3 linked regions of the Drosophila melanogaster genome follow. The protein of the gene in region 1 interacts with the protein of each later gene in a pairwise test. Each region holds a gene or a part of one and is shown in the gene's direction. Other genes may lie near its edges.

What was found.
Region 2: the proteins of Sbat (region 1) and Hez interact in a two-hybrid assay, tested with the Drosophila melanogaster proteins (one study listed by BioGRID).
Region 3: the proteins of Sbat (region 1) and Vlet interact in a two-hybrid assay, tested with the Drosophila melanogaster proteins (one study listed by BioGRID).

The regions. Positions count from the first base shown.
Region 1 is NT_033779.5:2,872,283-2,879,501, forward strand, and holds Sbat (sabbat), read left to right. Parts: upstream 1-6,061; 5' UTR 6,062-6,310; coding exon 6,311-6,676; 3' UTR 6,677-6,719; downstream 6,720-7,219. Other genes in the region: Ifrd1 (Interferon-related developmental regulator 1), read right to left, coding at 1,354-1,390; CG8814 (uncharacterized protein), read left to right, coding at 3,106-4,080; Prx6a (peroxiredoxin 6a), read right to left, coding at 4,906-5,107, 5,329-5,521, 5,582-5,855; RabGGTb (Rab geranylgeranyltransferase subunit beta), read left to right, coding at 6,982-7,219. UniProt on the Drosophila melanogaster protein: Auxiliary component of the N-terminal acetyltransferase C (NatC) complex which catalyzes acetylation of N-terminal methionine residues. May have an accessory function in the survival motor neuron (SMN) complex.
Region 2 is NT_037436.4:9,891,740-9,900,104, reverse strand, and holds Hez (hezron), read left to right. Parts: upstream 1-5,361; 5' UTR 5,362-5,434; coding exon 5,435-5,515; intron 5,516-5,572; coding exon 5,573-5,761; intron 5,762-5,822; coding exon 5,823-6,113; 3' UTR 6,114-6,324; coding exon of another isoform or gene 6,325-6,396; intron 6,397-6,450; coding exon of another isoform or gene 6,451-6,587; intron 6,588-6,640; coding exon of another isoform or gene 6,641-6,785; 3' UTR 6,786-6,917; downstream 6,918-8,365. Other genes in the region: nudE, read right to left, coding at 21-100; CG46387 (uncharacterized protein), read right to left, coding at 937-1,374; CG6707 (uncharacterized protein), read left to right, coding at 2,050-2,176, 3,470-3,651, 3,717-3,926, 3,983-4,147, 4,229-4,345; CG6709 (uncharacterized protein), read left to right, coding at 6,325-6,396, 6,451-6,587, 6,641-6,785; CalpB (Calpain-B), read right to left, coding at 7,760-8,365. UniProt on the Drosophila melanogaster protein: May have an accessory function in the survival motor neuron (SMN) complex.
Region 3 is NC_004354.4:11,674,409-11,682,518, reverse strand, and holds Vlet (valette), read left to right. Parts: upstream 1-3,967; 5' UTR 3,968-4,084; coding exon 4,085-4,116; exon of another isoform or gene 4,117-4,169; coding exon 4,170-4,854; 3' UTR 4,855-5,175; downstream 5,176-8,110. Other genes in the region: bif (bifocal), read right to left, coding at 1-801, 1,405-1,666. UniProt on the Drosophila melanogaster protein: Scaffold protein in the commander complex that is essential for endosomal recycling of transmembrane cargos; the commander complex is composed of the CCC subcomplex and the retriever subcomplex.

The DNA.
Region 1 (7,219 bases):
GCACAACTTTCATTGTGGCGATTTCCCAGTGCCTGTTTTCAGCTTTCTATTTGGGGCAAGGTAGTTTCCGCCTCGTTTTTTGTGTTTTTTTTTTTTTTGTTTTGCCTTTCACAAAAGCTGCGAGCAAACTACAAACACAAAAGCATGCGGTAACTGCGGGCTAGAAAAACGAATCAAAAGCAGTGGAAAACAGCTGGTTTTGCTTGAAAGTTGTTTGGATTAGATTCGGGCGAGTAAACCATCTGTGTTTTGAGAGCGACTAATGCATAACACAAAGTTGCGTAAGTTTTTAGGTCACCCATGAGGTATATACTTAGATGCGAGGAAAGTTCCCCGAAGAGCCACAACTTCCGCTTCTTTATTTTTAAATTTAATATTTGTAAATGATTGTATGATGAGCCTATAAATACCAATTCGGATATTTAACTATATAAATAGGTACAGCTTGAATAATAACTTAGCATAATAGAGCACTTAAATAGAATACATAATTTGATACGCCCTACGAAAACATACCCACTGATACCCTGCACTGAGGTATTCGGTTATAGGCGTGATTCTGATAAGCTGGCATTGAGCGTACACATATACATATACATATGTGTACGTATGTTTTTCCACGAACAAGTATATTTATATTTATATACAGTTGTGCTCAACATAGAAACAACGCAGAAACTTAAAACCTCCTCCTTTGGTGAAATGCAGCTATTTAACTTTATATTACATAATTTGGAATTTTTGTCAAAATTACTATGGTTATATTGTTATTATTGGTGGGCAAAGCTGTATAAATTTACATATGTATACGTATGTATATATATTTTCAGTGAACCGCTGATTACTTGTTGTTGCGCAGCCAGCTGAGCGCGTGAAGCTTTTGGTGCCAGCACAGCAACAAAACGAAAATAATTATTTCATTTCGAGGGTATTGACAAACAGGTTGCAGGCAGCGAAGCTTCCTTCGTTTGGAAGCCAACGAAATACACCAAACAGTGCACGGTACTCATTAGTCAGTGCATGACTAATGCAAAGGTCAAACGAAAAGCAGCTGTGAAAATTCACCTACCCTCGCCGGCTTTTGTGGGGATATACTATTAAGTCTATTGTTCAGATGTGCGATTTAATTCGTTTATTTTGTAAAAAACAAGAAAACCATGAGGTTAAGATGGTAATTAAACCCAAAATGTTGCTACTAAAGGCAAAATAACTAATTTTAAGCCTATAAAGTCAATTGTTTCAGCTGGAAGTTCACACTCGTATCCAATAGATATATTATACGCATTTGGATACGTTCAACCTCGCATTTTTTTTCTGTGCACACCCACACACTCTCTTTTCTTTGTGACTCACCTCTGCCTGCTGCTGATTTCTTGTTGCGTCGCGGCATGTTGCTGTTGTTTTTGCGTCGTTCAGGTATTTTGCTGTTTGAACTCGACGACGACGTTTTGGTTTCTATTGTTTAGCCTACTGTTTCAAACACAAGGTACGAAACACAAAAAAAACAGATGCTTTGTAGCCGAGTGTCCTTTTCCTGTTCTGGGTCCTCAAAAGGTGGAGAACAGGCGTCGAAGTCTACACAACGGCGAAAATGTCTACACTTTCGTTGCTTTGGCGGCAACTACTGAAACGCACGTGTTGGTTCCGATTTATTGATTTTGATGCTCTAGGTTAGGAAATTAAATTGCGTTCTTGAGCCGAGCTGTCAATTTTTTAATCTTTGTCTTTCTAACCCGAAACGTTGCCGATCAGGACGCACCTATGCAAAAACTTTGGTGCTTCCAATTTTTGGCAATTCTACACGACTGTCTTTGCCGTTTGCAATTGTTCAACTCCGATCGCGATTTTTGCGGCCGTATCTTATATATAGTCTGCTGATTCTGATGGCTCTGCTGCTTGGCGTTGATAATACAAAAATGTCGTACTCCCGTCGACGTTGCAGCAAATTTCATGTTTAATTGCAATGCGTTCACTTTTCTCCGCGCTGGCAGACACTCCCACTCCGCCCTCGGTTCGCAGTTATTGTGAAATCGAATCGAATGCGCTGTCTTTCGATCTCTGGTGCTTCGATTTTGCTATTTCCGATTCGGCCAGTGAAGGCGCTTCGCGGACTTTACGTTGGCAGCTTTCGGAAAGCTCTAAAAATAATGCAAATAATTAAGCACTTAATTCGATTGCTGATTTTTACGAAATGAAAAAGTGAGTGACCGTATGCGCGAACGTTGGAAAATACCATGAATAGCGGTATATTCAATGGAAGATGGAAGTCTGCGCTCATGCGATAGTTGACTTTCGATAAAGCCTATACCTATAATTATACTATACCTATACTATACCTATTATACCCTACTATACCTATATTTACCTATAATTAAATGTGGCTGGAAATAAATAAAACTAAATAATCTTACTTTATAAATTCATTGATTGGTCCTATGCTTTTCCGCAAAATACTAATTTATAATTTTATTTATGGACAATAAAAACTTCTTATTTTTGTTTAAATCGCGATATTCGCGCTCACAAAAATATCATCTCCACTCTGCACCTGTATCGATACTTTCGTTGCAGCCCTGCGCCACCCGCACACATGCACACCTACACACTCACACGTACGCGCTCAGCGATTTGCAGAGAGAGTTTTCGGGTTTTTGTTTAGTTTTATTTGATTGCAACTCGATTGGAACGACAGCGGTTGGCGCAGCACACAACAATTCCTCAGCGAGGTCGATAAGAACGGGGGCCAAACTAAGAAAAAGCTCCAGCCGACTCGATTCGATTCGAAGCTCAGAAGATTGGACTTCAGAACTCGAACTTTGGCACCACAGCAGCGCATCCACGAACGTCGCACCCAAAAATTCATGAATGCCCAGCAGCGGATTTGGACTCGGATTCGGAATCGGAATCAATAGCGAACGACAACAACAAAAGGGGGAGCCGAAAGTGGGGTTTGCAACACCGCGGATTGCACACAATAATTAGGTAATTTGTAAGCGACGTTCACCTGGACAAGGTGAACTTGGCACCGCCTCTATATGGCAGCCTTCGTACCTGTGTATCTTATCGATCGAGTGCCCTGGCTAATCGCGGGATAATCTTGCAGGTATGGCGGCGATTGAGGAGCGTTTCCAGGCGGCAGTCAATGTGATAAAGGGTCTGCCCAAAAATGGCCCCTACCAGCCCAGCACCAGCATGATGCTCAAGTTCTACGGGCTGTTCAAACAGGCCACCGAGGGTAGACCAGATGTGGACAAGAAGCCCGGCTTTTGGGACATCGTAGGCAAGGCCAAGTGGCAGGCATGGAACGATAACCGTCACTTGACCAAGGAGGAGGCGATGCAGCGCTATGTGGAGAGCCTGCAGGAGATCATTGAGACCATGTCGTTCACGGAGAATGTGCAGAACTTTGTGGGCAGCCTCGATAGTCTGGGAAACATCAGCCTGGACGAACTGGAGCTGGTCTCGCCCGGCATGAAGGAGCTGGCCGAGTCGCATCCCAACTCGCCGTTCCACTCGCGCACCAACAGTCCCCAGCACGGCTCCAGTTGTAATGGCGAACCGGAGCCGGAACCTCAGGCGACTAGCACCGCACCGCTGGCCACATCCGAAACGATTAAGGAGAATGGCCATAGTTCGCCGCCACTGACCAATGGCTATGGACCTAAGCCAACAGCAAGCTACACACAACATGACACGCACAACTTTACGAGCAACAGCAGCGTGGCCATCGTGGATCCCTCGGACGATGAGTACGACGATCCCTACGATCTCAGCCACGAGCTGACCCAGGCGATTGGCCAGAACACGGACCTGCTGCGTCAAATCCAGGCTGCTATCACACGGATGAACAGCGATGTGGGCGCAGTGCAGCAGCGCGTTCGCAGCCTGGAGCAGTCGCTCAACGAACTTCGCAGCGGCCAAAAGGCAGCGAAAGGAACGGTGGCGCAGCCACGATCACTGCCCGCCTGGTGGCCCTTCAGGAACATCTCCCCGCTCTGGTTTGCCGTCCTCATCCTGTGGCCTTTCCTGGTGAGGCGGTTCGCGCGGATGCTTCAGTCCAATCCGCAGCGCAGGCACTGACGCAGGAAAGCTATACTTGCGGAGGGCGGAACATGTGGTAGTTAAATTGTAAGTACAACGCAACTAGACAAAGGCATATGTTACCATTCCCACTTTATATTTGAGACGTATTCCCGCAGTCAAGAGAATTTAAGAGCATAGGGAACCTGTTTCGTAGCGAAAGCTTTTACATCATACATTATTTTGTACATATTTGCATTTCATTAACATATTCAAGGTAACGATCTCTATGCGAACTCAGATTGTGGAATATATCTTGTGAGTATTTGGGCAAGGGAAAGTGCTCAAGCATCCACTGTTTAAACTAATTATCAGTAACATGTGTTTCCAATTATTAGTTTAAATGAATGGTCACTATTACAAATAACTTTATACTGTTTGTGCCACCAAAATTAATCCAATGTAAACATTTTCCTTTCAGTTATCTTCGGTTACGGGCACGAGCTTGGTCTTTAGCTTTCTTCTATCCTAGAAAGCGCTTCAGTTATTGTACAGAGTTGGCCTTATTTATACCTTACTTACCCCCATGGTTATCCAGTTGCAATATCTCTACCCCCTTTTGTACACGTCTATATATGTATATTGAATGTATATTTATTTCGTACACACAAATCGCGACCTTTTTGTCACATTCCCCATCTGATTTAGTTCGTAAGTCGAATGTTTTGGCAATTTTGTCCAGCAGAAGGCGAGTTTTAGCCACCTGAAAGCGCCGATCTACTGAAAATACGGTTGTAAGCGTATACTTTATTGTGCATTATTTGTTGTTAATTATAATTTTTGTAATAAAGCAAAAAAAAAGTGAGAGCGCACGCTTGTCATCCATTAGGGCTGTGGAGTGATCCGCAGGTAACTCTTTCCGGAGGGCAGCTCAATGGTTTCGATACCATCAGGAAAGAGCTTAGGAACATCTTCGGCTTTGACGGTGGGCAAGACCATGCACTTGCCGCCCTGTTTCCAATCCGCCGGCGTCGCGACACTCTTTGTTTGGGTCAACTGGAGCGAGTCGATCACTCGAAGGATTTCACTGCAAAGGATATAGTTAAATGTAATTTGTCGGATTAATTGACCTTGAAATCGTTCCTATTTAACTTCCATTATTATATGCAAGGTTAGTACTTAGTTTTCAGCAATAATACTTCATTAAATAATTATCTGCTAATGCGATTAAGTGCACGATTGTTTGCTAAAGTGCATTACAGCATTACTTTATAGATAATGATGAATGCTAGATATTGGAATACCCACTCAAAGTTGCGCCCAGTGGTGGCAGGATACAGGATGGACAGGCGAAGCTTCTTCTTGTCGTCCACCACGAAAACGGCGCGACAGGTGAGGGGAATGCCCTCGGCATTGATCTCGTCCTTGTCCAGCATATTAAACTTGAGCGCCAGTTCCCTTTTGTCGTCCGCAATGATGGGATAGTCAAAGGAGCTCAGCTCTGCGAACAGAAACGCCAATTAGAAGCGATTCCTGTCCAGAAATCAGTGACCAAACCCACTGCCAAAGCTCTTGATGTCCTCGATCCAACCCTTGTGCGACTCCACGGTGTCGCAGGACAGTGCAATTGGCTTGACTCCACGCTTTTGGAATTCCGGAATCAATGCCGCCACCCGGGACAATTCCGTGGTGCAAACCGGCGTAAAATCCGCCGGATGGGAGAACAGAATGGCCCAGCTGTCCTGCATCCAGTCGTAGAAATCGATTCGACCCTCGCTGGTCTCAGCCGTGAAGTTTGGGAACTGATCGCCAATGTTTAAAGCCTTTCCGGACATGGTGGATATTTGAAAAAATCAAGAGACGAATTACGAGCTTTTTGGATAAATGCGAAACAAAATTTGCCGCAAAATGCAAATCAGCTGACTGGGCTAGGGTGCCCGTTACCTTTATAAGCTCAGCTCGACCAGGGATGCAAATATAAAAAGAACTAGTTTTCGTATGAAGATGTTAAAAAGAAGGCTCATTGTGTGCATTCATTTTGCAATCATTTCCTTTAAGTGTTTTAAATCTAAAGTATTTTCTTTGACACAAGCAAACGAGTGTTTCGTATATTTTCGAATTTATGAGCTCAAAAAGTGAACCAGTGAACCGAACCACTTACACGTGCTTGCATCCCTGGCCATTACTCATACACACGCACACTATATCACACATACGCGCAGTGTAAACACAAAAAAAGCTGAGAATTTCTTGCATTTATTTGTTTAAATTGAGCAAAGAGGATATAACCATGACAGAACTGAGCATCACTGGCCAGCAGGTGATGCCCCCGCCCGCATGCACACCACCGGAGCCCTTCCGCATCACAACGAACGCCCCGCACCAGATGAACGATGCCAGTTTGACGCCGGGACGCAGGAAGCTCCAGAAGTGGCTGGGTCGAGTTCTTCGGATCGTGATTACGGACGGACGCGTGCTGGTGGGATTCTTCAACTGCACGGACCGCGACGCCAACATCGTGCTGTCCATGTGCGCCGAGTACTTGGTGGAGGGCCAGGAGCCGCGCCTGCTGGGCAACGTCATGGTTCCCGGCCAGCACATAGTCTCCCTAAGCATCGACGAGCCGGATCCGCAGTCCAGCCTGCTGGTGCAATAGTGTGCATGTGTTTTGAATAAAATAAACTAGCTATTTGAAATTTAAGTACGTTTAATTTTTATTTTTGGATGGGGTTATAGTAAACCCCTCCACACTACGCCCCTGCGTCGATCAGCTGTTTGATAAGCCACTGCCGCGTTGCCAACCATCGCGCAGATGAATCAGCTGTGCTCGATTGGATTCACTGAGTTATTTGTTTGCTCGCAGCACTATTCCTGCCAATTAATAGAGTTAATCAAGCGAAACAGCGCGCCGAAGAGGATCTGCCAGCCACCCGATACTCATTCAATTGAGCCCAATCAGCGATGGACTTCACGACCTTCGTAAAGCCCTCAAATGGCGGTGGCGACAGCGGCGGTGGTGGTGATGCGGATGGCGGCGGCCAGAAGCTGCAGTTCTGGAAGCATGTGGAGTACATCGAGAACCATGGGAAGCAGGAGGACGACTACGAGTACTGCATGACCGAGTTTCTGCGCATGTCGGGCATCTATTGGGGCACCACTGCCCTGGACATTATGGGCCAGCTGGAGCGATTGGAGCGCA
Region 2 (8,365 bases), on another chromosome or scaffold:
TAATAGGGATGGGCACTTACTCTTTGTGGTACTGCTTAGATCGTTCCTTCCAATATCTGCACTCATCTTCCACACTATTGAACATCGGGGGCGACTCCATTTCTGCAAATTTTCCTTAGCTGCTAACTCCTTTTTCTGGTTTTTGTGTACTAATCGGCGGTCAAAATGGGTTTGTAATTTCGTTCGTTCGAATTGATTTAACTTTTAATTTCTGAACAATGCTATGTACTACGGTTGGTCTATTACTGTTTGGGTTATTTATTCGTGTTTTTTGGCTGCTTTGTTTTTAATTGCTGTGATTAAAATGCCAAAACACAGTTGTTGTTCAAGTCGTAGTTTTACTTTTTTTTTGTTTTGTGTGTTGGGGGTGGTGAATAGACTAGAAGTCGGCGAAGAAAAGTGAAAAATCAATTAGGAACAGGTGTTTGCCCTGAATTTTGTAGTTACTGTTGCTGTTGTTCTTGTTCGATGCCCTAAAAGGGCAGTCGGTTTTGTCCATATCAAATGTAAATAAAATCAAATTAAACAAAACTCATTTTTGTGACGCAGCTGCTGCGGCAACAACAACGAAAACAACGAGGATGATGGTGATGAGCAGCAGCAACAACAACAACAACAAATAGCTACGACGAAGTTTCCCATACAACAACGCACTGCATGGAAATGAAATCATCGGTGATTTTTTCGTAGAATTCCAGTGTTTATACCTAGAATTTTATACAGCACGACTGTCCACATTTACTACTTACACTTTGCACTTAATTTTGCTACGTTTTGTTTGTTTTATTTACATAAAATCAGTGTAAATAGTTATGCTCGTAAAAATTTACCACTACTCCAAAAACGCACAAGCCAACCCTGGCTTGGGTTGCCAGTGTTGGCCAATAGATGGGCATTTGCCGTTTCCAGCCCTGGTCAACAGTTGTTATTTGAAATTTAATCAACATATAAAGTTTTACTCGGCTTTTTTTTGCGTTTACGTAGTTTTCTTATATATTCCAAATCATATTTCTCTAATGGACGTGCTGTGAACGTTATCGATTTGTTGGCCGGCGCATCGTTGCTGGTATCGTCCGAAATATGAAACTCAGAGTCGGAACTATCTTCAATTATTTGAGCTGAGCTTAGTGTTAAATCACGAGTGGAGCTGGGAGTTTGTGGCAGTGCTGCAACATTTTCGCCAACTACGCGCATGGGCAGCGCATGATAATGATATGATACATTTCGACAGGATTTGCGGCGTAGTTTGTGTTTTCTGCTTGTTTCAAAGTCACTTGAACTTGTGGACGTGTTATCGTCCCCACTATTTGAGCCTTCCCCGCTTACAGAATCCTTATTGTCAATTTTATTGGAGTTTTTCGTGATTTTAGACATATTTGTTTTAAGCCGCGCTGGATTGTTTTGGTTCCAAAAATGAACAATTTTTCGCTGATCTGTTTCTGGTTCTTTACCAAGTACAACGATGTGGCAACTCCCTGGCAGGGCCGCAACTGAAAAATCTCAAACGGGACATCGTTGCCAGATAGCTAGCCAGAGTGTGGCCAGATCGCAGCGACTGCAGTGCATTTTCAACAAAAATAAGGTAAAATATAGCACAATTATGGCCAGCAATTGTTAAACAATTAACGCAATTGCCAGTATTATAACCAAATGTCAACTGTGTGAGTGCGACAATCGAGCTCGCGTGGGCGTTGCACATGCAGCATCATCGAATTGATTAATTGCGGCGCATGCCGAAAAGTGAAAAAAGGGAGGATGTGTTTCAATCAACGCGAGTGAAAACCGCGACGAACGAAGAAAAAAAAAACCAAACTACTGCGGCAATCGTGAACAAAGAGCTCGTTGCGTCCGAAATTATGTGGCACAGCAACTAAACTATTGGATTTCCCACTCATTTTCCAGTTGAAATCAACGCGTTGCAGCAGCCCCCGCAGCAACAGCAACAACAAAACAAAGGCAACTGGAAGTGCAGCCTAACGGGAATTGCTCCAGCATATAGAGATTATAGTCCACACATATAAATATCCATTTATCGGAAGATAGTCCACAATGGCGGATCCAGAGCGACAAAGCCTGATCAACAAGGACGACGGCAATGGCTACAATTCCGTGGACGCCGTGGACGAGGGTGCCGATAATCCCGGCAGCAACTCATCGGTGGCCACAAACGAGGACGGTGCGTATCGTTACTGTAAAGCCGGGCATTCAACCCGCATCCAATCAGCCGGGCGGGCAACCCATTGGAAGCCCAACAAGTGTGCGGGCGCTCCACTTATCCGGATCCAACGCCGTGATTCCGAGTTGTCTGCTCGCCGTCTCATTTGGCATTTTCACACTTCACCCAACTGAGTCATAAATGCGTGTGGTTTGGTGCGGGGGGAGAGCAATGGGACTGCACAGAAAGAAAAACTGATAGGATATGTGGTGCCCAAATGCCATTTTAAATTATCTGCCATTTTTTTATTTTTTAATAGGGCCCAGTATTATTGGTATTACCAAAAATTTACAACCTAATATAAAATTTTCTTATTGGCCTAAATATCAAATGGGCCACGTACACCATAAAAAAAATGTAATTTTATCACGAAATTGTGAAGAGCTGCCAAAAATGTAAAGATCGATTGTAGTTAGTTACTCGACGCCGGTATCGGCAAAATTTTTGCACCGCCTTTGTTATTGTTTATGCTAGGACGCTCGTAATCAGCGCAAAAAGCGTTCCCCACAGCTGTTTAATCAGCATCGATTCGGAGGTGTTGCTATAGTGGTGGTTAAGCGGGGGCAGTCAATGAGTCCATGAGTCATCATGTCATTCGCTGCCTTATCGCAATACAGGGCGAAAATGAGGGTCTGCGATGAGCAGTGGTTCCATTGTTTACCAAGGAACCTGATCTTCAGCTCGGAAAAAGCTTGTCCATATCATTAATATATACAAGAGTTTAGTTACAAGGGCTTTACGACTTTCCATGTTCCCAATTAATTTGCATAGGTTATCTTTCTGTATTCCTTTCTTTTTGACATTATATATTTATTTAGCCAAAGTAATATGACTTTATTTGCAATTTATCCACTTCATATCAATTTTCCTAAAGAGTGTGTGCGATGTTACTCTTTGCGTTGTTTTCATTTAAAAACGTCTTTCACAAAGTTCGAACTTGTTTTGATCGAGAGACGAGAACCACAACTGCGGTCTAGTTGCACTAGTTTAATGCTTGTACGAGAAAGCTGCATTCATAACGCCAAAACATTGACCCATTTGGTTTATCGCAGCTTCCCAGAGCCACACACTGCACACTATCAGAAAATGCAGTTCTCACTCCCTCCATGAGCCAATCACCGCCAGATGAGCAGTGTGGTTGAGCGAACTCTGCTGGCGAGATGTATTTATTCTACACCAAAGGTCTCGCCTTTGAAGGGCATGGGTCTTAACAATATTATAAGTAGTTAATAATACTTTGCAATGGAATTTTAGGCAATGGAGCACCGACCGCAGTGCCTTGCATTGGACCCGATGAGCTGCCGCCGCCGTATCAGCAGAGTACCAACACCGGAGGCGTCCCGATGGTCACCTGTCGGGTATGTCAACACATGATTGACATCACCACGAAGCGGGAGCAGCACGTGGTCAAGTGCACCCACTGCAATGAGGCTACTGTGAGTAATTCTAAGCAGATTCTTTGAATCCAATTGTAACTTAATACGCTTTTGGCTATCAACAGCCCATTCGGAACGCTCCAGCGGGCAAGAAGTATGTTCGCTGCCCATGCAACTGTTTGTTAATCTGCAAGAGCTCGTCGCAGCGAATCGCTTGTCCAAGGCCCAATTGCAAGAGGATCATCAACCTGGCCCCAAGTCCCGTCACCCCGCCCGTGCCAACCATGCCGGGCATGTGCCGCGTCACTTGTGGCCACTGTTCGGACACGTTTTTGGTGAGTTATTAATCCAAATCACAGCAGCAGGAGTCTTGTAACGCTTGCTCTTACAGTTCAACACGTATCACAACGCCTTGGCCCGGTGTCCACACTGCAGGAAGGTCTCATCGGTGGGCTCGCGCTTTGCCAACAGCCGCGCCGTGATGTTCGCCATCGTGGCGCTGGTGTTCCTCATCACAGGCATCGCTGTAACTATCGGCACATACTCGATTGCTTCGGTAAGCCAAATCAATTTAAAATCAAGCTGAAGTATGTGATTTTCTAAACCCATATGTGTGTTTCCTTTTGCATTTTTCCAGGATCATGGTGGCATGTACTTCCTCTACGTGGCGCTGTTCGTGATTTCGGGTTGCATGCTGGCCAGGTCCGCCTACTATTTCCGCCTTAAAGTGAGCGCCATCGATGGGCCAATGTAAAGCTAAAGCACGGGGCCAGTAGCAAGGAAGAAAGTGCATTGTTTTATTTTTATATATATATATTATTCATATATATCATTCCTTTTGATATTAAATTTAAAACTAAACACAAGCAGCCAATTTGCAGACGGAACATATGAACATTTCTCCAGCAGTTCAGCTACATACAAAAATTCTTCGTTTCGAGCAAAACTAATAGCAAACCTAGCTAAATTTACGAAAGAAGGTCTCCCCGTTGAAGAGCATAATTAGGATATTAAGGCCGTAACTAACTAAACACTATACTAAAAGCGAATATTTCAAGGGTCGCCGTGCAGCTACCATTCAAGTGCTAAAAGTAAAAAAGGAAAACCCCGATCTGTGTTGGCAGTCATTAGTTATTAGACCAGCGACCGATCAATCCACAGTGCATCTCATTTTTAGAATCGTCAGGATCCATTTTAAAGATTGTACAGTTTCGTTGTTTAAGTGTCCGATTTGTTATCCGTTCGTGCCTGTCCTGCAAGATATTTCGGTATTCATACATTACGTATTCGTTGATACGCTTTTGAGTTTTGTGTTGCCTAAAATTTAACCAATGCACTTTTTCTCAGTTCTCGCCAAAGCGGAGGAAAGCGTTTTGTTGCCTGGCGTTAGAAACAATTTGAAGGGTATGCTAATAGTGCTAATGAAGGTACATACACATACGCGCATATACAATACCATAAATACATAATTATAATGCAAATAAACAAAGCAACATTTCTTGAACAACAGAGAACAAGCAAACGCTCATGCAGATATAAAGAAAATTAATTTAGACAGCAACTGCTAAACTGCGAAATTGCATATATATATATGATTAAAAGGAACGGTTTACTTTTGAAATATATATATATATATACAACAACATTTATATTTAGTACATTATAAATTAGCATACATACACTGTAAATAAAAAGAAATAAAACCACAAGCACCACCAACTTTTTGGCGACAAAATGACAAGGCTATGAAAGTAGAATAGAGTGCCTTGAACTTGACATCGGACATCGGCTGGGATTTTCGATTTCGATTACATTTTTAAAGTTTTTAAGTTCCTTGGCCAAGATGTCATCATTGGCTCCTTGCTTTACTGTGGGCTCTATTGTGCGCTGCAAGACTTGTTTTGGCGACAACATTTCGGGCGAGGTAAAACTAAATATTATTTATTATTTTTATGATTATGTAATGCTTTCAATTTCCCAGGTTGTGGCCTTCGATCTGGGCGTGAAAATGCTGATAATGAAGTGTCCATCAAGCAATGGCGGTGGCGACGAACAGACCACTTGCAATGTGACCATTGTGAACCTATCCCTGTGCATGGACATTGAAATAGTAAAGGAAGCAATTCCGCCGGCTGAAGTTCAACAGCCAGAACCGATTGATTTGCCCATGGTAGAAGCACTCTCTATATAGATATTTAAAAGAAACCCCATTCAACCATTTGCAATTGCAGATCCGAGAACGATACCGATACGCAACCGAACATCGTACGCTCTCCTGCCGGAGCTATCATCCCAATGCCTCGCCCTTTGGTCAAGCTCTGTTCAGACTGTTAGTCAAGCGATTCGGTGATCCCGCTATCATCTGGCAGAACAAAGGCGACCAAGTGGCGATCAATATACTCCGTCAGGTGGTCATCGATGCGCCGTATGCCACGGAGAATATCCGATACCTCGATTGGAATCCCAAGCTGGCGATATGCGTCCAAGAGGTCGTTCAAAACTTTTGCAGTAAACAATTCTAGAACGATGGCCCGTGCCCATGGCAACAGTTGTCTAGATAGCATCCGATTCTCTGTACGTTTTGTTTATCAACAAAACAATTCAAAATACACATACATATAGCCATGACACCCACACAGAATACTGCTCTTTATCTGCCAGGGGAAACCATTCTCGTTTGTACAAATTCGATTTAATACACTACACCACAACACCCAACACACATAATACACGATGGCCGATGATGAAGATAAACCAAAGAAGCACACGCTGGACAGCCTGTTCTTGGTGTATTCCAACTTCCAGGTATGATGAATGACCCGGTTAATTGAAGAGTAATTTTCATCTAAATGATGCCAGGTCATACCCACCGACATCGAGAACGAGTACTTTGACAGCATACTCCTCTCGCAGTTGGACGCCTGGCTAGAGCAGGCCAAGCTCATGCCCAATCCCATAACTCGAACTCAGACCGGTTTAATATACATGCGATACAAGTGAGTAACTACATCAAATCTACATATCATTCTTAATCAAATACATGTTTCAGGAAATGGCGTTTGGAGTACGAAGACTTTCTCGAGGTCCTAAATAACTTGGCATCCGATAACAATCTGGCTATAGATGAAATGAAGCAAATAATGATCGATGCTGGCGTCCCGAATGGTGCTGATGTAGTTATAGTCGTCAAGTAGATTGAATCATCACTGCATTTTATTTATATGCATACAAAAAGTCGGACAACAAATTATTAATAGTAACAATTGCATACAAGAGTAACTTTGATTAATTCACAAAAATTATAGTAAAATATAAAAGCATCCAACAAAAAGAGCCTCTAAACCCGATTGGTTAATTTCAGTTAGTTAAACACTTATTTTGACATAGAGGGTGCCTAATTAAGGTATGTTTTGAGATTACTGATCTGAAAACTAAATACAAAATATATGCGTATTACATTTTTTGATGTGATTCAATAAATTGACTGATATTCTGAAATTCTGCTTAAGCTTATAAATATTCGATGAGTTGGTTGGCTTGTTCGCTTCGCGTTACTTTCCTGATAATAATAACAACGTTTGTTTGGGTAACAGAGTTTGGCTGGACTTATTTCTAGCACCTGGGCAAATATGTGGACTGCTCGGAGCTAACGATGTTACAAAAATACATGCTTATTCATTCCGTATATCTAATAAATATTGTCGATGCGTTCTAATGGCTTTCCGAGCGTCTCATAGCGATTGTAAGGTAATAATGCACTGTTTGTACTAGTAAATTTCCGGCTCTTGACGAGGTGCATGGAGTGGATTTGCTATTGATGCTTGCTCTTAGTCATCCCTCCAGTTGCGCAGCATGGTAAAAAAAAATCTATAGCGTTAATTTTTTGAATTGTGTATGCGGGATTTATACTGTTTACCGTGCATACTCGTAGCAACCTCGTGCCGTTCCAAGGCCACTCCAATTTCGCCACATGATTTGTATTTCCGGATATGGTCATATAGATAAGATTCTCTTGTTGGCTCAGTGAGTGTATCTCTTTGCATCGCCGGATCGCATTGTCATGGATTTGTGTGTTGGCTTTCTCATTTGAATGCATGAATAATATGATGCACAGGTAGATTAAGTATACGTCGCACTTAGGATTAGATTAGTAGCAATTGCAAGTAATTTAAGAGTAAATTGTTCGCTCCAGCCAGTCGTCCAAGTTGAAGAAGGCCGTGTCCGAATTGTCCGTGTCCCGTTCGCGGAACATCTCGATGAATGTTCTAACCTTGATGGCACACATCAGGAAATCGTCGAATGGTATTTGTCCCTCCCGCGATCCGTAGCGATGGGCCAGGGCGTTCAGGAGCCGGTTGTTCAGATGATAGCCAGCCGAATTGAGTGCTCCGCGCAGATGGAATCCATCAATACTGCCAGTGCGACGGGTGTCATATAGCTTAAAGACCGCCCGCCACTTGGCAATATCGGTAAGCAGAGCTTCGAACTCCTCGAAACCAAGGCGACCGGAGCGATCCTTGTCCAGCATGGCTACCATCGAACGCACGGCATCCTTGGAGAAGCCATCACTGCCCACCATAACATCGCGCATAGAGTGGTCCAGGATGCGCTTCAGCTCCTGCCAGTCGACTTCCTCATCGCTGCCAGCCACGCTGTCGAACAGACGACGCAGTGCAATGCGCTGCGGATCATCCTCCTCCTTTGGAGTCGGTGGCGGCAGAGACGGAGCAATGCGATCGTCGGTCTCGCCAAAGCCAACCTCATCGTCGTTCTC
Region 3 (8,110 bases), on another chromosome or scaffold:
GCAGCTTGGACACAATTCCGGGTCCGTAGCTCAGATCCTCACCGGTGTCCAATGAATCTGGTATGGGATTCGTCGGTGGATGTTGTGGATCCACATCGCCTCCTGCTACGCTGCCAATTTTGCCCGCTAGATGTCGGTGCTGGCCATTTTGTTTGGTTGTCTTCTTCATCTCTTGCATGGCGACCATTGTCGGTTTTACCGTTACCTTTGTGGGCGACAGTTGCTGTTGTTGCTGCTGTTGTTGTTGTTGTTGCTGCTGCTGTTGAATTATAAACTTGTTGCTCTGCAATTTATCGGAAATACTCTTGGTTTTGCTGCAGCTTTTGCTGTTATCGACGATGGTCTCTTTAGCTGAAGGCTTGCCCTCAGCAACGCTCTGTCCCGGTTTGCATTTCGTTTTTAAATGATTTGGGTTTGGATTTTGATTTGCTGACGACGACGGCGATCCAATTGTGCCAGTTTCAACTTCACCGCACCGGCTGTTACTCACCACACCAGCCGGCTGTTCGCCGCTCTCAAGCTCTCCATCCCGTTCTCCACTCTCGCTTAGAATATATCGCACCATCTCCCTCTCCTGACTTCTTGTGTTGAGTAAACTCGATCGCTGCTTTGGTATTGGTGTTACTGTTACATTTGTTGTTGCTGCCGCATCGGGCGAAAGGGAGACGGCAACAACAGAGTGATGACCTCCAGTGGAATCGGAATTGGTATTGGAAATAGAAGATTTCTCAGACTTTTCCTCTGAACCGATCATGTTTCTCTTTTGACTAGTGCTACTGATTGTCGCCGGTTCTGTGAAATCTGTTAGAAAAAAAATTGAAGAAAGAAAGCAAATACAAATGTTATAAAGACAGAACATTAAAACATAACTTGGTTTTTTTTATCTTATTCGTCCGCAATCTGACAACTCTGTGAGCTATCGATAAGCGAATATCGTATCGATAAGCGAATATGTAAGGCGGCTAATTTAAAAGTATACTGGTATTGGAAATCGTAAAAGTTGGCAAAATGAATTAAAAACACTTGTTACCATTACTCATGGCTGGTTAACGCCAACTGAGCAATTGCAGATTGTGTAAGTCACAATTAGTCTTTCGCATTTTTCCAGTCAATATATTTCACCCTGATTACTATTTGCTACGGCAGTTTTTAAATATTTTAAAAACCTTTCCGAAGTCTATAGTTCGTTGAATTTATTTTAAGTACCGAACGGTATCATTTAAAAGGGATAAGTATGGAGCTCAAAAGTAAGTGCAATTATTTCGTTTGTCAAGAATGCAAGAAATAGCGATTAGAAATACGAATACTTGCACCTAACATGCCTTGACAGAAATGCTTGGCTTGAAAATACCTTTAATTTGCGTGTCAGGTGAAAGTATTCCAGTTTGTCCAACCACCACTCACCTGCAATTGCACCTGGAGCTGCGTTGGCTTCTGCCAAAGCCCCACAACTGCCATCGGTGGGCGAGGTGATGGACGCCGCCTGGGTGCGGGCCACGTTCGTTTTCCGGCGCTGGATGAGGTCCTTCTTCCACTGCGGCATGTCCGGCAGGAAACCGGAAGTGGGCGACATCTCAGCTGCAGCTCCCAGGCCAGATCCTCCAGCTGCTAATCCTGCTGGCACATCCGTGTGTAAGTCCAACGAAGGCCGCTTCTGTGACTCCATTATCCCCGTCTGCAATAGGCATTATTCGCAGCATTAATGCATGTCAGCCGTGTCCGCGGTGTCTGTATCGCAGTAGTATCCCCTATATAGTGTGGCACACTATCCAGCTCTACATCTCGACCCAAAGACCAAGTCTGGCGGACTGACTGGCCCGAAGCTGGTGCCAATTGCAAGTGCCCGGTGCCCAAGCTCCTCTACGAAGCAAAGAGGCGGGCATAGCCGACCCAAAAGATTGGCCAACCATGCAAATTATATCCAATTCAAGAAACTATCTCAAGATTCTCAGTTTACTCGACCAGTTTTCGAGATGAACCAATAAGTGAGGGTATAAATATATTCTAATAGACAAAAGTACTGTTTTTTCAATATATGTATATTACATGAGAAGGGGAGTAAATACTTTAATATACATTTAACAAAAAATAAGCTACGATAAACACAAGCTGAAAATGAAATATTTGTCATTGCAGCAATTATTTTCTGCTTATGTAGAAATTTTAATAACAAAGTCTAGATAAAAAATTGAATCATTTTTATAAAATCGCAGCCTGTAGAAATCTAAGTTAATAAATAATAATAATAGTTATGACTGTAAAACTCGCAGCTGTTAGCAGAAATTCTATTTCAACAAGTGTATGGTTCTATAATATATTTATAATTTAACATTTATCTTGGAAAATAAATAAGATGAATATCTTTTGAGTAGATAAAAGGTGATTTCGAATTCGTGGTGGCGATGGCATTTAGAGTTTTATTTTTCTTAATTGGATTAACTGCTGTTTTTACAGCCCGACAGCAAAACAAAACGTAAAACAAAGGTAAGAAGCGAAGAAACCCCAATATTTTTCCAGCATAAATATGCTAAACTGCCATAATGAGCGGAAAATGCGATAAAACCGAATATAGAGAGGAAAATAACGGAAAAGAAAAGCGGGGAAACTGAAACCAAACGATTCTTTTTATTGTTTGGCTAAAATTGATTGCATGGCTAGATTATTGCTGTTGGAATTGGAATTGTTTCTGTTTTTGCAGCTTTGCCTTTTGCATGCCGCGATAAAAAGTATTATTTTTAATTTCCCGTATCAGGCGTATGCATGTGTCTGTGTGTGTGTGTGTGTATGCATCACACGACTCCGCCGGAGAGAGTGTGAGTGTGTGCAAGGGTGGCTGAAAAGGGGAGAGCGATAAAAAGGGGCTGCAAAATGCAGACGAAGCATAAAATAAACAACCGACGACGCGCTATCGATTTTTACGGCATGCTGGAAGCACCAGCACACTGATACACACAGTTTGCAGAATAGGGAAATAAACTGGAAGTTATGCTATGCCAAATTGAGTTTTTTCAACAAAAATTCCTCGCAGAGAAACGCGAAACGAACTAGTGGAAGACTAAAGAGCCGGGTTTTGTTTATTTACACAGGAACAATACAATCGCACGCAGCCAAAGACACACATACGTATACCACATACACATGCATATATCCCGACGCACTGTTCCGTTAGTTTAGTTGGGGTTTTTGTTTTTCTCGGGCTTTCGCTGAAACCTTAGCTTGAAATCCTTACTTTTAAGATGCTGACTATTTTTTATAATCGGTGGTTGGTTTTGCTTCCAATTTTCCGATCCCGAGTTCCGTTTATCATCCGCTCCGCTGCGCCTGTTTACCCCGCTTTTACACTTTTCCGTTTCGCTGTAGCTCAACGAACTCGTCGCTCTCCTTGCTCCGCGCACTTGTCAAGCTTTCCCGACTGCAACTGCACTCGAACTCGGGGCGTGGGTGCACTCGCTGCGCCTTAAAAGTGCATCTTTCGCAGCCGAATCAGCGGAAAAATCTGCATTAAGTTAAGCCGCGTTTCCAATACACAAATACTGCTTATCGATTGTTGGCGCTATCGAGCGGAGCATCGATAGGCATCAGCGGAGTTGCCAGGTAGGACGATTATATTAATGAGTTGGAAAACTATTCGTACTTGATAATCTTCTACAAATTGAATCGTCGATCGTCGGTGCCGTCGACAATCTGGTATTGATATTTGCTGGTGCGGCTTTTTTTCACGAATTTTATTTTGCAGGAAACATAACAGCAAATATTATTTAAAACATTGTAATTTTATAAGGTAAATTATTCAGGCCTAAATACAGAAAAATAAATTAATTTAATAAAACATTTAAATCTAAAAAATTAATAAAGAATATGTTTAAAATCACATCGCAAAATGTAATATTTTTGTATTTTAGTCAGCACTTACCGTTATTATTGGCAGTAGTAACTGTGTGGCAGCACCGCACCGTGGCAAGTCGATAGTTTTTTGTATATTGTTGGTCTGTATAAACAAATAATATTAAAGTCATAATAAAAGAAGTGCTGGTAAAGACTTAATAACTCTATGTTCCTTAAAAATTTTTAAATATATCTCACAATGAGCATTAACTGGATAAAGATCACGGAAAGGTATGTAATATCAATGTTCTTATAGAGATTAATTTCTTGCATTTATATCTTAGAGCCCGTGAGGGCATCAAAATCATCAATGCCTTGCCCTACGAGACCTTTACGACGGTTCTGTTCTACACCCACCGGCAGATGAGTCCCAGCGTAGCATCGGCGAGTGCCACCAGTAGTACAGTGGGCACCAGTGTGACGACCACCGGCCGGGTGGACAGCAGCACCGAGGAGAACCCCACAAGTAACACCGAACCGGAGTACACACTCGAGGAACTGGAGCGATTGGTGGGCGTACCGCGTCAGGACTTCCTGCTGCTGATCAAGACCTTCTCCTACATCCTGCGTCGCATCTCCACGTTTATCATCAAGCCAAGTTTGCTGCAGCGTGAGCTGCGCGAGAAACTCCAGCTGGAGGATGAGGCCAAGATCGATGCCATATTGCGTTTGTGGGTGCGCGAAACGACGCCCATTATGAACAATTTGGCCAGCAAGCGGTACGAATCAAATGTCATCGAAGATGTGGCCTGGAAGCTCAACATGGAGATCTCCTCGCATTGCCAGCAGCGGGAGAAGACCCCGCTGGCCGTGCTCCAAATGAAAACGGCCGTCGGCGAGGATATCAACATCGAAATGACACAACCGGAACTAATGGAACTGTACAATCAGTTCGAGAGCATCCAGGGCGAACTGGACGCCATGCTGGCCATGAAGACTACAGGAGCAACGGCGCCTGGCAATCAGTAGTGGGACGCCATCGACCAATTCCAGTGCCAATTTTATTGTTGATTCACACAAAACTCTGTGCAAAAAGATGGACCTAAAAGTATGCAATACTAACACGATCGTAGCCAAATGTTAAACACGTTTTTTTTTGTTTAATTCAGTAGGGTTTTTCCTATGTTCTGGCTAATTTTCCGAACGTAGCCAAATTTTTACTAGAGTAAGAGTTCGGCTTTGATTTATAAAACGTTGCAATGATTAGGATCTTCCAAACAGGACTAGTTTTTAAGTTTTAGAACTTACCCTCTGCAAAATAATAAATCCTTTAATAAATTTAGATAAAACAATGTGTGGCACATTTTACAGTACACTTTAATGGATCTCTGCATGCGTTTTACTCGTCTGCTCCACCTCGGATCATAATTCTACTGATAAACATTACAAATTATTACAATGATATATATTTAATATATGTCTATATTGTATATGCATATGTTATTCATCGGCCTTAGTATGCGTGTGTGTGTGTATAATGGAGTCGTATATTATGTATGCATTATACAGACTTTCTAGTTTCATCTTCTCAAACTTTTGCATAATTATGCATATGTATTTATTGTTATTACGGGAGGGCGGGGATTTTGGGTTGCTTCGTATTCAAATTAGGGGCTTCGTTGTATTTTTCACTAATCTAGAAGCAAAACGATTTCTATTGCACTCTTTCACAGTTCGGTTAATCATTTCAACTAAGTTTGGACAAAATACAAATGTATGCAAATTATTTGGACTACAATTTTCATTAAAATGTATTGCTATTGTTACATTTAGTTGTCGTGTGTGTAGGTGTTGTTATCATTTTTCCTTTTTTGCTTTGGCACCGGCTCCATTAACTAGCCCTTAACTTGGTTGTTAGTTAGTCTTCAGTTTGCGTGGGATTCTGTTTAATTATATTGGTTTTTCGTGTAAATGATTATCGCCTTTCGAAATGCGTTGGTCATTTGTTCCTGTTGTTCTATTTGTGCTGTCTGTTTTTGAGTTGTGTTTCCATATGCACTTCATTTCAATTTTGTATAAATAAACCAATAAATAAGTTCTTTCGGGTTAGAAAATTTAAATGATCATTTACGCAAGCACTTAGAATCGAGCTAGGATAAATAAAATTACACAGTGTTAAACTATTTAATATATACAACAATTTTATCGATTCAAGCTTGCTGAATTTCCTTTCGCTGTGAGTAACATCGCATGCCGATTAAATCAAGTGAATATGGAAACACGACTCTTTTCTCATTGTGTGTTTATGTTTAAACATTAACTTCGGTGTTTTTCATTACTTTCTGCTGATTGGATTGATCACCAGAGCCCGCTGTATTTGACCTATATAAGTAATAAGTGTGAGCGCCACGTTCAAATGAGGAGAATGCAAGGTGGTGTTCGATTTTTTAAATAAAAACTTGATATAATTAAACAAAAATCAATGTAGCACATACATACACAGTTTACGCTTTGTAAAAAGTTACAAAAAATTTAAACACAAAACAGACATAAAAAAAAAAATAATACGAGAAACTAAAAATTGTACACTACATCTCCGACGGTTGCAGCAAAATGTTTTAACATTTGTTTAAAACTATGTAACTCAATTATTGCATTGTGTTTTTGTGTGAGTGTATGAGTGTGTGCGATTTATAGTTAGTTTAGTTTAGATCTAATATTAGGTATATGTTTATCAAGTATTTATATATATAATAATATAAAAAAGTAAACATTTAGCGCTTTTAGTTTGCTACAAAAATTTGCTCGTCTCGCTCACATATTTCAACTAACATTAGGTGTACAAAAAAATTGGAAGATATATAGTTTATATCAAATTGTGGCTAGCGTAAAAATACAATCAGTATTCCAGTATTTAGTATTGCCGTCGGTTTGAAGCGGCAATTGCGGTTACATTGTACGCCGATTCCTCGTTATCTTAGATATATATATCTTTATATATATATAAAATGTATAAATTGATGCGTGTTCGTTCTGTTTGGCGAGATTGCTGCATTCCCATTCGATAGATCGCGGTGTAGAGTATATATATATATATATATCCAGTAGTATCCAGTGTAGTACACATATATCCAAGTATAATATCAAGCGTTGATCCTCCTCCGCGCTCTCTTCGCACTTCGTCCCTTAAGTAAATAATAATGTAGTTGCCACAAGATGGTTGGGTTCTGTTGGGTTGGGTTGGGTTTCCATTCGGTTGAGTTGAGTTCAGTTGCTTGGTTGGCTGGCTGGCTGGCTTGGATTGGCTGGAGTATTGGGTTTTGGAATGGCTTTACATGCCCGACTCTGCAATGCCCTCGTCATCTGAAAGAGAGTCAAAATGGCACGGTTAGAATTGTACGATGAGTACAAAGCAAAAGCTTAGCACATGCACGGGGTTAGAAAACCATAAAGGTGGCATACAATAAATGAAAGTAACAAGTAATCATGCAGGTAAATAAAAACAATCAGGAAATATACAAAACATCTACGGAATGTGGCCATAGTGCGTTTCACGGTGAAAACTTTCAATTTAACTACACAAATGACATATATTTACAAATATATTGTTTTGCCCATGAAATGCACCTGGATCCACTCCTCGGGATTTGCGTAAGTATCTACAAACCCATAAACGGATTGGCATAGATGATGCCGCCGCCAGCCTCGGAACCAACACCATTTCCCAAAACACCACCACCGTTAACAGCGATTCCACCGCCGATTGCAGTTCCACCTCCTCCCCCGCTGACCACTAGTCCGCCGACTCCAGCGCCGGATAATCTGGATGCCTTGCTGAGTTTCGTGGTGGAATAGTCGCCATCGCCGACCAGCGTGGCTATGTCGTCATCATCGCCGTTCCGCGTGTTGCAACTGCTGCCGAGCAGTTGATCGTAACAGCTAACGTCTGTGCTGATCACATCCACCTCGATGTCGTCGTCATCCTTTTCCAGACTATTTCGATTACTGCCCCCCAGCGAGGAGTGCAGGGCATGGGAGTCCTCGTAGCTGCCGCCACCGCTGTCATCGTTGGCATTATTCGACTTGGTATCGATGTGGGTCTCGAACTCATCGTGCATATACAGCTCCTCATCCTCGTCCTCCTCTTCGAGATCCTCTTCCATTTCGTGGGGTGCAAGTTCACCATCTTCGCCTACCTCCACACCGATTTCCACTTCCAAAAGCGAACGACGTCGCGTGAAGACCTCGTCATCTTGATGATTGGATTGCTGACTGTGGTTTTGTG